3 linked regions of the Rattus norvegicus genome follow. The protein of the gene in region 2 interacts with the protein of the main gene of each other region in a biochemical or structural test. Links are inferred from orthologs where the notes say so. Each region holds a gene or a part of one and is shown on either strand. Other genes may lie near its edges.

What was found.
Region 1: the proteins of Sec31a (region 2) and Sec13 form a complex in vitro, tested with the Homo sapiens proteins (2 studies listed by BioGRID and IntAct, with this or other methods). The link is inferred for Rattus norvegicus from reciprocal best matches to the Homo sapiens genes SEC31A and SEC13.
Region 3: of the proteins of Sec31a (region 2) and Klhl12, one has a biochemical effect on the other in vitro, tested with the Homo sapiens proteins (3 studies listed by BioGRID, with this or other methods). The link is inferred for Rattus norvegicus from reciprocal best matches to the Homo sapiens genes SEC31A and KLHL12.

What each region holds. Positions count from the first base shown.
Region 1 is NC_086022.1:148,440,157-148,443,807, reverse strand, and holds part of Sec13 (protein SEC13 homolog), read left to right. Parts: intron 1-1,239; coding exon 1,240-1,355; intron 1,356-2,683; coding exon 2,684-2,835; intron 2,836-3,230; coding exon 3,231-3,364; intron 3,365-3,651. UniProt on the Homo sapiens protein: Functions as a component of the nuclear pore complex (NPC) and the COPII coat. At the endoplasmic reticulum, SEC13 is involved in the biogenesis of COPII-coated vesicles.
Region 2 is NC_086032.1:9,570,721-9,574,213, forward strand, and holds the end of Sec31a (protein transport protein Sec31A), read left to right. Parts: intron 1-48; coding exon 49-168; intron 169-515; coding exon 516-587; coding exon of another isoform or gene 588-614; exon of another isoform or gene 615-2,266; coding exon 2,267-2,446; 3' UTR 2,447-2,858; downstream 2,859-3,493. UniProt on the Homo sapiens protein: Component of the coat protein complex II (COPII) which promotes the formation of transport vesicles from the endoplasmic reticulum (ER).
Region 3 is NC_086031.1:48,458,201-48,461,851, forward strand, and holds part of Klhl12 (kelch-like protein 12), read left to right. Parts: intron 1-623; exon of another isoform or gene 624-733; intron 734-1,459; coding exon 1,460-1,613; intron 1,614-3,651. UniProt on the Homo sapiens protein: Substrate-specific adapter of a BCR (BTB-CUL3-RBX1) E3 ubiquitin ligase complex that acts as a negative regulator of Wnt signaling pathway and ER-Golgi transport.

The sequences.
Region 1 (3,651 bases), on a different chromosome or scaffold from region 2:
CCCCTCAGTGAGCATTTTGACTATATTAGCTCCCAGCAGGCCATAACCTCTGGGGGGTTAATCATTTTCCTACATGACCTCTGAGTTGGCAGTGTTTACAGTGGCCTATCTTTGCTGTGAGAACCTGGCTCTGTTGTACAGTTCAGGCCCTTCAGTCTTTGGCCAGTACAGTGCCTGCTCTAAGAGTAAGGCTGCAGAGGTTTGACAACCATCTTCCCATTTGTCTTTCTCCTAAGGCTATTTCTTAGCTCTACTGAAAGGGACTTAGGGAGAATAGGAAGTCTAGCAGCCACAGTAAAAGTGTAGGGCAGAAGCCAGTACACTTCTGTCCCAGAGAGTAGTCCATACCAGGCCCTTGGGGCTCTCAGGGCGTTTCTTGATAGGCCAACACAGGGCACAGTGTAGAACTGCTAGGGAAGGTCCAGAGGTTGAAGTCCCTAACTGAGAAACTCATCCTGCTTCCTGGAGCCAAACAATGCAGGCAGCCTTTGAGCAGGGCCCAGGCTTAATGGCCTCAGTCTTTCCTGTTAAGTCCCTGACCTCCACACTTAACCCCTGGCACTTGGTTTGGGGGTTCTGGGACCAAACTGTGCATCTTGTTGGTTTTGGTGGTGAGTAGTCTAGCTGTGAGGCCACCTGGCTGGAGCTGGCATGGACCCAAGAGCAAGAAGATCCAGTCTCAGCACCTCTGCCAGTGACCCACCTTGGTTTCCTCCTGGGGATCACATGAGGCAGTATAGTAGTTAGAGACATCTCTATGCTCTCTAAACTTGTCATCAGACCCTAAGTACTTTCCATTCAGTACCTTATTATGCCTTCAAGGACCCGTGAAGCTCCTTAGTCCTTCTTAAGATATGGAAACTGACGGTTAAATAAATAAGCTAATTTTTCAAAGCTTGTACAACAAATAAGCTAAGGACATAGAATTTCCTTTTTAGATACTTCCTTACCAGTATGACAGCACTCTGCTGAAAAGGGTTTTTAAATGGACCTACAAGCCTACTTACCAGGAGAGCAAAGCCTGACCCAGTAGAAAGATGGCCTTCCAGAAGAATCCTTTATCTTGAGTAGAAAGGTGACAAAGAAATGTTAAGGTCCATGCATCACTTTTGGTTGAAAGTTTCTAGCTGCTGCAGGTGGCAGCTGGCTATTCCTGAAATCTGATTTGAGTCTGTAGGGGCCTGGCGTGGGGGTTATGCACCTGTCCTGCAGGCTTCCCTAGCTGTCCTTCCCTTGCAGCATGATGCGCAGATGGACTATTATGGCACCCGCCTAGCAACCTGCTCCTCAGATAGGTCTGTCAAAATTTTTGATGTGCGAAATGGAGGGCAGATCCTCATCGCAGACCTCAGAGGGTAAGTGTAAACAAGCATGGAGAAGGTCGTGGGATAGCTAGATTCTCAGGCCTGGGAGGAAGGATGAAAGCACAAATTCAGAGCAATCCCAGAGTACATTAACCAGTGAGGATGCTTAAAGCCCAGATGCCTCTGCCCTTAGCAGAGGTGTAGATAAGGGCACAGAGACATTCAAGTATGATCCTCAGTTCTACCACCAGGAGGCCTGGCCCTCCTCTGCTTAACCCCAGCTGGGGTAATCCTGACTCTATCCAGGGCCCATCAATATATCTTTGATGTGGGCAACCACTGTCATGTTCAGAATTAATGAACACTACAGTACCAACCTGCACACATTTAGGCATTTCACCTCAAGTGTCATTTAGGAAGTATGATCGTGAGATGAACTTGGGACACATATGTGGCAGTCAAAAGACAACTTTGTGGAGTTTTCTCCTTCTACCTTTCCATGGGTTCAGGGGATTGAACTCAGGCTTACACAGCAGGTGCTTTTACCCACTAGGCCATCTCACTAGGCCCATAAGACAAATTTTATACATCTTGTTCTGTTTGCTCATGGCAGATAGATGGCCAAGGATTATTTAAAAGATGTTTGCTTTCTCCCCCACTAGCCTTTGGGGTCTTGGCTCATTTTCATGATCACATCTCTTTGAGACATAGTGTGGATTCCTTACCTGGGTACCTGGGTCTGCTAGAGTGAACTGGGTCACAAGTTTGGCAAACTAGGACAGGGAAAACAATCACATTTATTTACATGACTCTGAATTTACCATTTTTTCTATTTTGGATGTAGACTGGAAACTCCCACTTGTCACTCACTTTGTCACCAAGAAAAGTCAGACATATTTTCATCTTACATGGAGCTGTCTAAGAATATCATTTGTGGGGCTGGGGATTTAGCTCAGTGGTAGAGCGCTTACCTAGGAAGCGCAAGGCCCTGGGTTCGGTCCCCAGCTCCGAAAAAAAGAACCAAAAAAAAAAAAAAAAGAATATCATTTGTGCTCATTATGACTTTGAAATTACAGATTGTTAGACCTGCCACTTGCTACTTGGTTTTGACAGAGACAATTTAATGTCTTAGTAAGTCATTTCAAGATGCAGAGTTCTCATTCCAAACATAGTAGAACACAAACCAAATTTAAGTGTGGTGGCACATTCTTTTGTCCTAGCATTTGGGAGGGTTACAAGCTCAATGCTAACCTGACCTACAGCATGAGACCCTGCCTCAAAAACTTAAGATAGTGGGAATACTGTGTTGTCTCTCCAGAGGGAACTGGTACTTTGGGTCCCCTGAACCTCTGAGTAGCCTTTAACCCCCTCCCTTACAGACATGAGGGGCCAGTGTGGCAGGTGGCCTGGGCTCACCCCATGTATGGCAATATCCTGGCTTCCTGTTCCTATGACCGGAAAGTCATTATCTGGAAGGAGGAAAATGGCACTTGGGAAAAGACCCATGAGCACTCAGGACATGACTCCTCAGGTATGTAGAGTTGGCAGGTGAGTAGGAAGGTCTTGTGGGTGAGAAAAGCCCTAGTTCTGATCACATCCCAGACCCTTCTCTTGCTGCTGTCCACCCTTTAGACATTTGTTAGCTTTTTCACTAGTCTATCCCCAACAAAGGTCAGTCGCCAAGACCTAAAGCCAATCCGGAGAAAGAGGTTTATAAGTACAGTGCGGCTTTCTAAGGCTCAGCCTGGAATCTCAGGGTGCCCCTCTTCCTTGCTTTGTGAAGACGGACTTAGGAAATACTGTTAGGAGTTAATTTGTCATTTGGCCAAATGTCAACTGGCTGCTGGCAGTCCCTGTGTTTTTTCTAAGAATGTAGCAGAATAGTAGATATAGAATGAAGTCGTCTCACTGTACTCCTTTCCACAGTGAACTCTGTTTGCTGGGCCCCTCATGACTATGGCCTGATCCTGGCCTGTGGGAGTTCAGATGGTGCCATCTCGCTGCTGACTTATACAGGGGAAGGCCAGTGGGAAGTGAAGAAGATTAACAATGCTCACACGGTGAGTCCAGCCCCAGCCTTTTGCATGGAAGAGAGAGCAGCAGTTGCTGTACTAAAGTCTTCTGTGCTCCTAGGAGAAAGAGTGGGTATGGCTGGGAAAGGTCATAGGTTAAACTTGCTAGAGCCACTTTATTATGAGGGACAATAGCCACACCAGCCTTCTCAGCCCAAGGCAGAAGTGGCACTGGTTTCTCCTAGTAAGACCCAGGTTGGGGACAGAAGCATTGGGGGCACTTTGACCAGCCACCTTGCTACAGAAGCCTGAGGCTGACAAGCATGGGTCCCCAG
Region 2 (3,493 bases):
ACACTTTCTGGTCATTTCTCATTGTCCATATCACGTTATTTCTTTTAGCATGTGCAGGCTCTGCCAACAGAAAAAATTACCAAGAAGCCTATTCCAGACGAGCACCTCATTCTAAAGACTACGTTTGAGGACCTTATCCAGCGCTGCCTCTCCTCAGCTACAGACCCCGTACGTATTCTGTGTAACTACAGATATAACCGGGCTGGAGGGCAGTCAGCACCATTACTATTGCTTCATTCCCAGCACCTACATGACAGCTCACAGCTGTCTGTAGCTCTGTTCCCAGGGGTCAGACGCCCTCTTCTGACCTCTGGAGGCACTGCACACATGTGGTGCACAGACACGCAGGCAAAACAGGTGTATACTTACAACAGTAAAATAAAAAAATTTTTAAGCCCTTTGTGGTGCTCCTTCGTTACTGAGTCATAGCTGCCTCCACTGTGTTGGTTAACAAAGACCTTCAGCATCCCAAGTGTAGGGTTCGAGTGTGACACCTGTTCTTTGCTCTCCCGCAGCAAACCAAGAGGAAGCTGGACGACGCCAGCAAACGCCTGGAGTGTCTGTACGACAAACTTAGGGACCAGACAGTAAGTTTGGGGGGAGGTGGACTATGACCGTCCATTATCCTTTGTTGCTAATAAAGTGACTCACCGACACTGTCACTCTGTGGGGTGACAAAGTTGTCATGAGAGGCACAGAATGGTCTTTCCCAAATTGCGTGGGGTGGGAGGGAGAACATATGAGGGAAATCAGCCCTTTCTGTAGCAAAGATCAGAAGTACAAACTGGGGCTGGAGAGATGGCTCAGTGGTTAAGAGCACTGACTGCTCTTCCAGAGGTCCTGAGTTCAAATCCCAGCAACCACATGGTGGCTCACAACCATCTGTAGTGAGATCTGATGCCCTCTTCTGGTCTGAAGACAGCTACAATGTACTTACAAATAAATAAATCTTAAAAAAAAATTTAAAAAAAAAAAAGTACAAACTGGACTCTGTCGGGCCCAGGGTAATTGGCCTGGTACTCCTTTCACATGGCCATGTATCAGAAACCGGACAAGGCAGGCGCCCTGTTTCCTAGAGAAGAATCTATCATCTCTCTGGAGTCTAAGACTCTTGATCCTTTTCGCCTACAACAGCTGATATAGAAAGGCAGAACCAATGTTGCTGCCAGATGGTCAGGGTAATGTCTGTGACGGGGAAGAGAAGTCACAGCAAGGAATCACTGTGGTCCTCTTGAACTGACCTGCTGTCCTTTGAGAGTTGAGATAATCCTGTTCTCCACACTCAGGCTCATCTGATAAGAGTAACATTTTTCTCATGAGACCCAATGCAAAGAAAGCGATCTCATAGGAAGGGTGTGGTCTATGACTGATCCAAAAGAGAGTCTTGTACTAAAGTATGGGTTGTTCTGAGTGCTGCCGTGCCAGGTGAGCCAGTGTGCAAGCTGCAGGGGAGTCAGCCACATAGCTCAAGGCTGGCCCAGCATTCCAGATGTCAGGGAGGGAGAGGACATGGTCAGGGGTAGCAGCATGGGCCAGAGATCCCAGCTCTTGCTGAGATCCAGGAGTGAATCCAGCCAGGGCAACACAGCAATGGCTAGTTGCAAAGAAAAAAAGGAAAACAAATTTTTTTGCCAGAAGAGAAGGTAGACTTACAGAAAGCGATTTCGGGTCCAGAATTGGCTCAGGTTAGCGCTCTTGTCTAGCACATTGACACCCTAGACTCCATCCCCATCCTCACAGAAGAACGGATAGGAAGACTAGGTAAGAGCTGGTAAATTGCACTGTTTGCCGAGCCTATTGCCTTGAACTCAGAAGAGGACAGAAGGTTCAGGATCTGCTGTAGAAAAAGCTTCAAGTAGCTGGGGTCCCAGCTTTTTTAACATTATCATGATCTACAAGCTTCCCGGACTCAAGGAAAATGTTAAAGGCTCTGGCTAAAGTAACTGGAGAAGGGACACTCCATTGGAAAGAGGTTTATCAGTTCCGCTTGCAGGAGGAAATCAGTAAGGAAAGACCTGCTCTGCAGTGCAGTATGGTAATTCATAAGGGACTTGTGACACAAGGCGTCTCCCCAGGCTTCTACACTAAAGTGTAAGTTTCACTTGGTCCAAAATCTTTGTTTAGTTTAAAACATTCCAAAATGCTAACTAGTTACGCATTTGTAAAGAGTGTCTCAGGCTCTGCGTAAATCTCTGGGTTAATGCTTGCAGAGCACTGTGGGATACCCCTACTGTAACTCCCTCTCCTGCCCCTGCCTTTCTTTCAGCTTTCTCCAACAATCATCAGCGGTCTCCACAGCATTGCGAGGAGCATTGAGACGAGGAACTACTCTGAAGGGTTGACCGTCCACACTCACATCGTCAGCACCAGCAACTTCAGTGAGACCTCAGCCTTCATGCCAGTCCTCAAGGTTGTGCTCAGCCAGGCCAGTAAGCTGGGCGTCTGAGACAGCTGCCATGACCTCCGACTCCGCCACTTCTCCAAAGAAAGCCATGCTAAGACTGGGACCAGCCCCTCATTAGCATGTTTCCATGGCCACCCGCCACCCAGGAGCTTTGACATTTCTGCAGGCAAACTCCCCTAGAACTGCTTGAACCCCCCCTCCCACCCCGCCCGTGCTTTCCTTTGTTTTAATCCCCTCGCCCATTATGATTTTCCCATTCTGCAAATAGTGTCTTTCCTGGATTACACATAGTGTGGTTTCCTGAGGGATTCTGACAAAATGTGGTTTTTAAAACTTTGGTGTACTTTTTAGGAAAATTGCATCTGGCTGTGTATAAAACAGACCTAAAATAGATTTCTTTAATGTCTTCCCTACCTTCTTCACGTTGATCAGATTAAAGTTGTAATCCCATCTTATACCTCAGTCTTTATTGGTTTACGTTTTCACTGCATTTTCTTTGTTTCTGCGTGAGTCGGTGTGGACTTGCCCCTGCATGTGGAAGCCAGGGGACAACCTGCAGGGTCGGCCTCTCCTTCCTCCACGCGGCTCCCAGGCAGGTTTAGCAGCAAACACTTTTGCCTCTGAGCCGTCTCACCAGCCCTGTAGTCTTTAAAACAGGCTGCTGGGCTGGGGCCGTCGTCTGGGGGAGCGCTTCTTGGCGTGTGTCAGGCCCTGGCTCCTACTCCTATTGCTGTGGTGCAGTCCTTCTCCGTCTTGTAACGCTGCAGCCTTAATATAGGTCCTCAGTCGTGACCCCCAGCCGTAAAACTGTTGCTGCTACTTCGTAACTGTAATTTGCTACTGTTAAGAATCGCACCTTCAGCACCCATTCCTGCATTCTCCGTGCACGGGTATCTTCAGTGTTCTGCTTTGACTCAAGATTGACTTGTCTTACGTCATAGTTAGCATTTGCTCCCCCGTTTTGAAGTCGGTCACCTGTAGTCCTGAGCCGCCATGAGTCTCATTCAAGAGGTCCTGGAAGAGGTTCAACTCTTCTTATCTGCATTTAGGTACAACAGGGTGACTTGCAGTCCCCTTTATTACTGGGTA
Region 3 (3,651 bases), on a different chromosome or scaffold from region 2:
TTTCCCCCAACCCCCAAACCCACCCCAGTGTGCAGGGATTAAAGGGGGATTGATTTTTTTTTAAAAAACGTTTTTTTTTTTTTGTTACCCTCTGGCTGATGGAGAAAGCAAGTATGACAAAGCCATTGGAAGTACATAAGAGTTGTAATAGGAGTTTGTGTGGATGAGCACATGTGGATGTGTGTGAGTGTGCTGACCCATGTGAGGGTGTGGTGAGCCCAGAGCTCGACATCACATGTCTTCCTTAACCGTTTCTCCTCCTCTCCACCTTACTTTTTGAGACAAGGTCTCTCACTGAACCCTGAGCTTGCAGGAGAGTCATGGGATCTACCTGTCTCTGCCCTAGGGCTGAGGTTTTGCTGTTGCATTTGCTTTTGATCTCATTTTTTGACGTTTGATGTCACTGCATAGCCTAGAGCAGCTCTGGATCACTGCAGTCCCCCTCCCCCATCTCAAACAGTGTTAGCTGAGGAGCCACTTGCAGTGATATCCACGTTCTCTTTCTATCCAGATGTAGTCTGAGGGTGGGCAGGGGAGAGGAATGTGGTCGTCCTGGAGGAGGTTGTAGCTGTAAATCTCAGAGTCCTATTTCCATGACATTTCATTGACTGTTTCTGTTTTAGCAAATGCCTGTAATGCCAGCCCTCAGAAGTCTGGGTGAGAGGATGGCTATAAATTCAAGGACAGCTTGGGCTACAACCTGGAAACCAGGTCAGCCACATAGCATAATCAGGTGTGTAGGAGAGGAAAGAAGAGAGAGAATGTTTTATCATAAAGGCACATGGGTACAGTGGTTCATGAAACTTTCGTATTTTGTTTTCTAAAATATCTGTGTTGGTTTTAATATGGAATCAGGTTAATTCTCTAGAAACTTTGCTATTCTCTTGTTCACTCCTAAGGATACAGCCAACTGCCCATACATGTCATACCTGCTAGATACAAATTAAATAACATTTATTATAATTTTAAGCTTTTTATAAAATTATTTTATGCTTATAAGTGTCTTGCCTACATGTATGACTGTTTCAAATGTGTGAGCCTGGTGTTTGTGGTGGTCAGAAAATGGCTTGACCCCTGGAACTGGTGTTATGATTGAGAGCTGCAATGGGTGCTGGGAATTGAACCTAGGTCCTCTGGAAGAGGAACTAGTACTCTTTTGTTTTTGTTTCTCTTTGTAACCCTGGCCATTCTGGAACTCATTCTGTAGACCAGGCTGGCCTCGAACTCAGAGATCCACTGTCTCTGCCTCCCAAACACTGAGAGTAAAGTGTGCACCACCGCTGCCCAGCCAGCAGCCAGGACTCTTAACCACTGAGCTAGCTCTCCAACCCCACGTTGTTGTTTTTGAAAGATGTGTATTTAATTAGTACCAGTATACCTTTAAGCTCTTAGACTTGGATTCTGTCTTTTACCTTGTGGAATCTAAAGTACCATCCTTTCCTACCTCATGAATTTTCAGCTTTCAGAGAAGGGGAAGCCATATGTTGACATTCAAGGTTTAACTGCTTCTACAATGGAAATCCTGTTGGACTTCGTGTATACAGAAACAGTACATGTGACAGTGGAGAATGTTCAAGAACTGCTCCCTGCAGCCTGTCTTCTCCAGTTGAAAGGTATAGACAATAAAAGGTGTCTTGTTCCTGACACAGTAGCCCTGGAAGTGTTTTTCATTGACATAAAATTAATCAAGAGACTTTCAGAGGTCAGTCTGGAAGCATGGCATTGGAATCTTTGAGCATGAAAGATCAGATATAGTTAAAAGCAATGCATAAGAATCTCTCCACATATGAGTATTTGGGTCTTGTAAAAGGAAACATTTAAACTTTTTCTGTTTTTGAAAATATGGAAGGTGGAAATAGGAAAATATGGAAATAGGTATGGTGGCTGACACCAATAATCGCAGCACTTAAGAAGCAGAGGATTGTATGAATTTGGAGCCGATTTAGTGTGTAAAATGAGACTACATCTTAAAATGAACCGATGGGGCTGAAGAGGTGGCTCAGGGCTTAAGAGCATGGACTGTTCTTCAGGAGGGTCTGTGTTTGAGTCCCAGCATCCACTGGTGGTTCACAATTATTTTCATTTCCAGGGAATTTAATGCCCTCTTCTGGGCATCATACAGATACACATGTTTGCAAAGCACCCATTCACATTAAGCAATTAAACTGAACCAAACAAAGCAGAATGGAAAATATAGGTATTTCCTTAATACATACATGTATATATGTGTGTATGCATACATGGTAAAAATTGTCAAGAAGCTGATAATATTCATTGTCTACATAGATACTGATTATTTACCTTGTCATTTGATGTCTTTGTTCATGGTGAGACTAAGGACTTTTTCTTATAAACCTTTTTGTATCTTTAAGTCTGAATCATGGAAAATATCTTTTAAATTTTCTTTTTACTTTTATTATTTATCTTTTTATGTGTATCTGTGTTATACTCAAATGGGTGACCTCTGATGACCACAAAGGTCAGAAGAGGGTATCGGATTTTCTCAAACTGGAGTTACAAGCAGTTGTGGACTGCATTCTGGGGGCTGGGAACTGGACCTAGATCTTCAAGAATAATAGTGTGTTTAACTGTTGAACCATCTCTCCAGTTCCCTGGTTTGTTTTTGAAACAGAGTCTCACTATGTAACTGGTTATCTGGGAACTTGCCGCTCAGGTTGTCCTCTAACTCAAGGGTATCCACCTGCTTCTGTTTCTGAAATGCTGGAATTAAAGGCATGCACCTCTATGTGTGCCTTAAGATACCTATTGAAAATAAAATTTATGCTAGTCAGTGGTGGTACATGCTTTAATTCTAGAGTTCAGGAGGCAGAGACCGGTAGAGCTCTGTGAGTTGGATACCTGCCTCATCTTCAGAGCTAGTTCTAAGACAGCCAGGGCTTCACACAGAAACTCTCTCAGAAAAACAAAACAAACAAAAAAATAATAAAATAAAATTTACCTTCTACTTGAGAAGGAGAAACAGCATGGGCTATATAGGTAGACCTGTCTCAAAAAGAAGTAAATAAACTTTAAATTGATGTATAGGAGTTAAAATATAATTTTTCAGATGGTCTACACTGTATAGACAAGGCTGGCCCTAAATTGTATCCCAGTTGGTCCTAATTCTGTCTTCTTGCTTCAGCCTTCTGAGCACTAGGATTACAGTTGTCACCATGGTAACTAGCCATCTGTCCCTTCAACCTCCAACCATGTATCCACTTAATTGAAACATTCTTACTGCTGTTTGTTTTGTTTTAGATAAGTGTATCACTGTGTGGTCTAAACTGGCCTAGAATGTGTGATCCTTCGTAGCCTCCTGAATGCTGGGATTACAGGCACAGACGCCTATGTCCAGTCCTCATTCCCCACCTGTCATATAAGACTGAGGTGAAGTGGAGCGCGCTAAGTGCAGACTTAGAAAATTAAGTTAAGTTTATGCCAGGTGTTGTGGCACAGGCCTTTAATCCCAGCACTCCAGAGAGAGATTCAGAAAGATACTTGTGAGTTGAGACCATTCTCTTCTACACTGTGAGCTCTAGACTGGCTAGGGCTGCACAGTAAGACTCTGTCTCAAAAACCAAACCAAAAAAGAACTGAGTTCATGCACTGGACCGTCCCTTTTCCCAGTGTCAGGGATTGAAACCAAGGCCT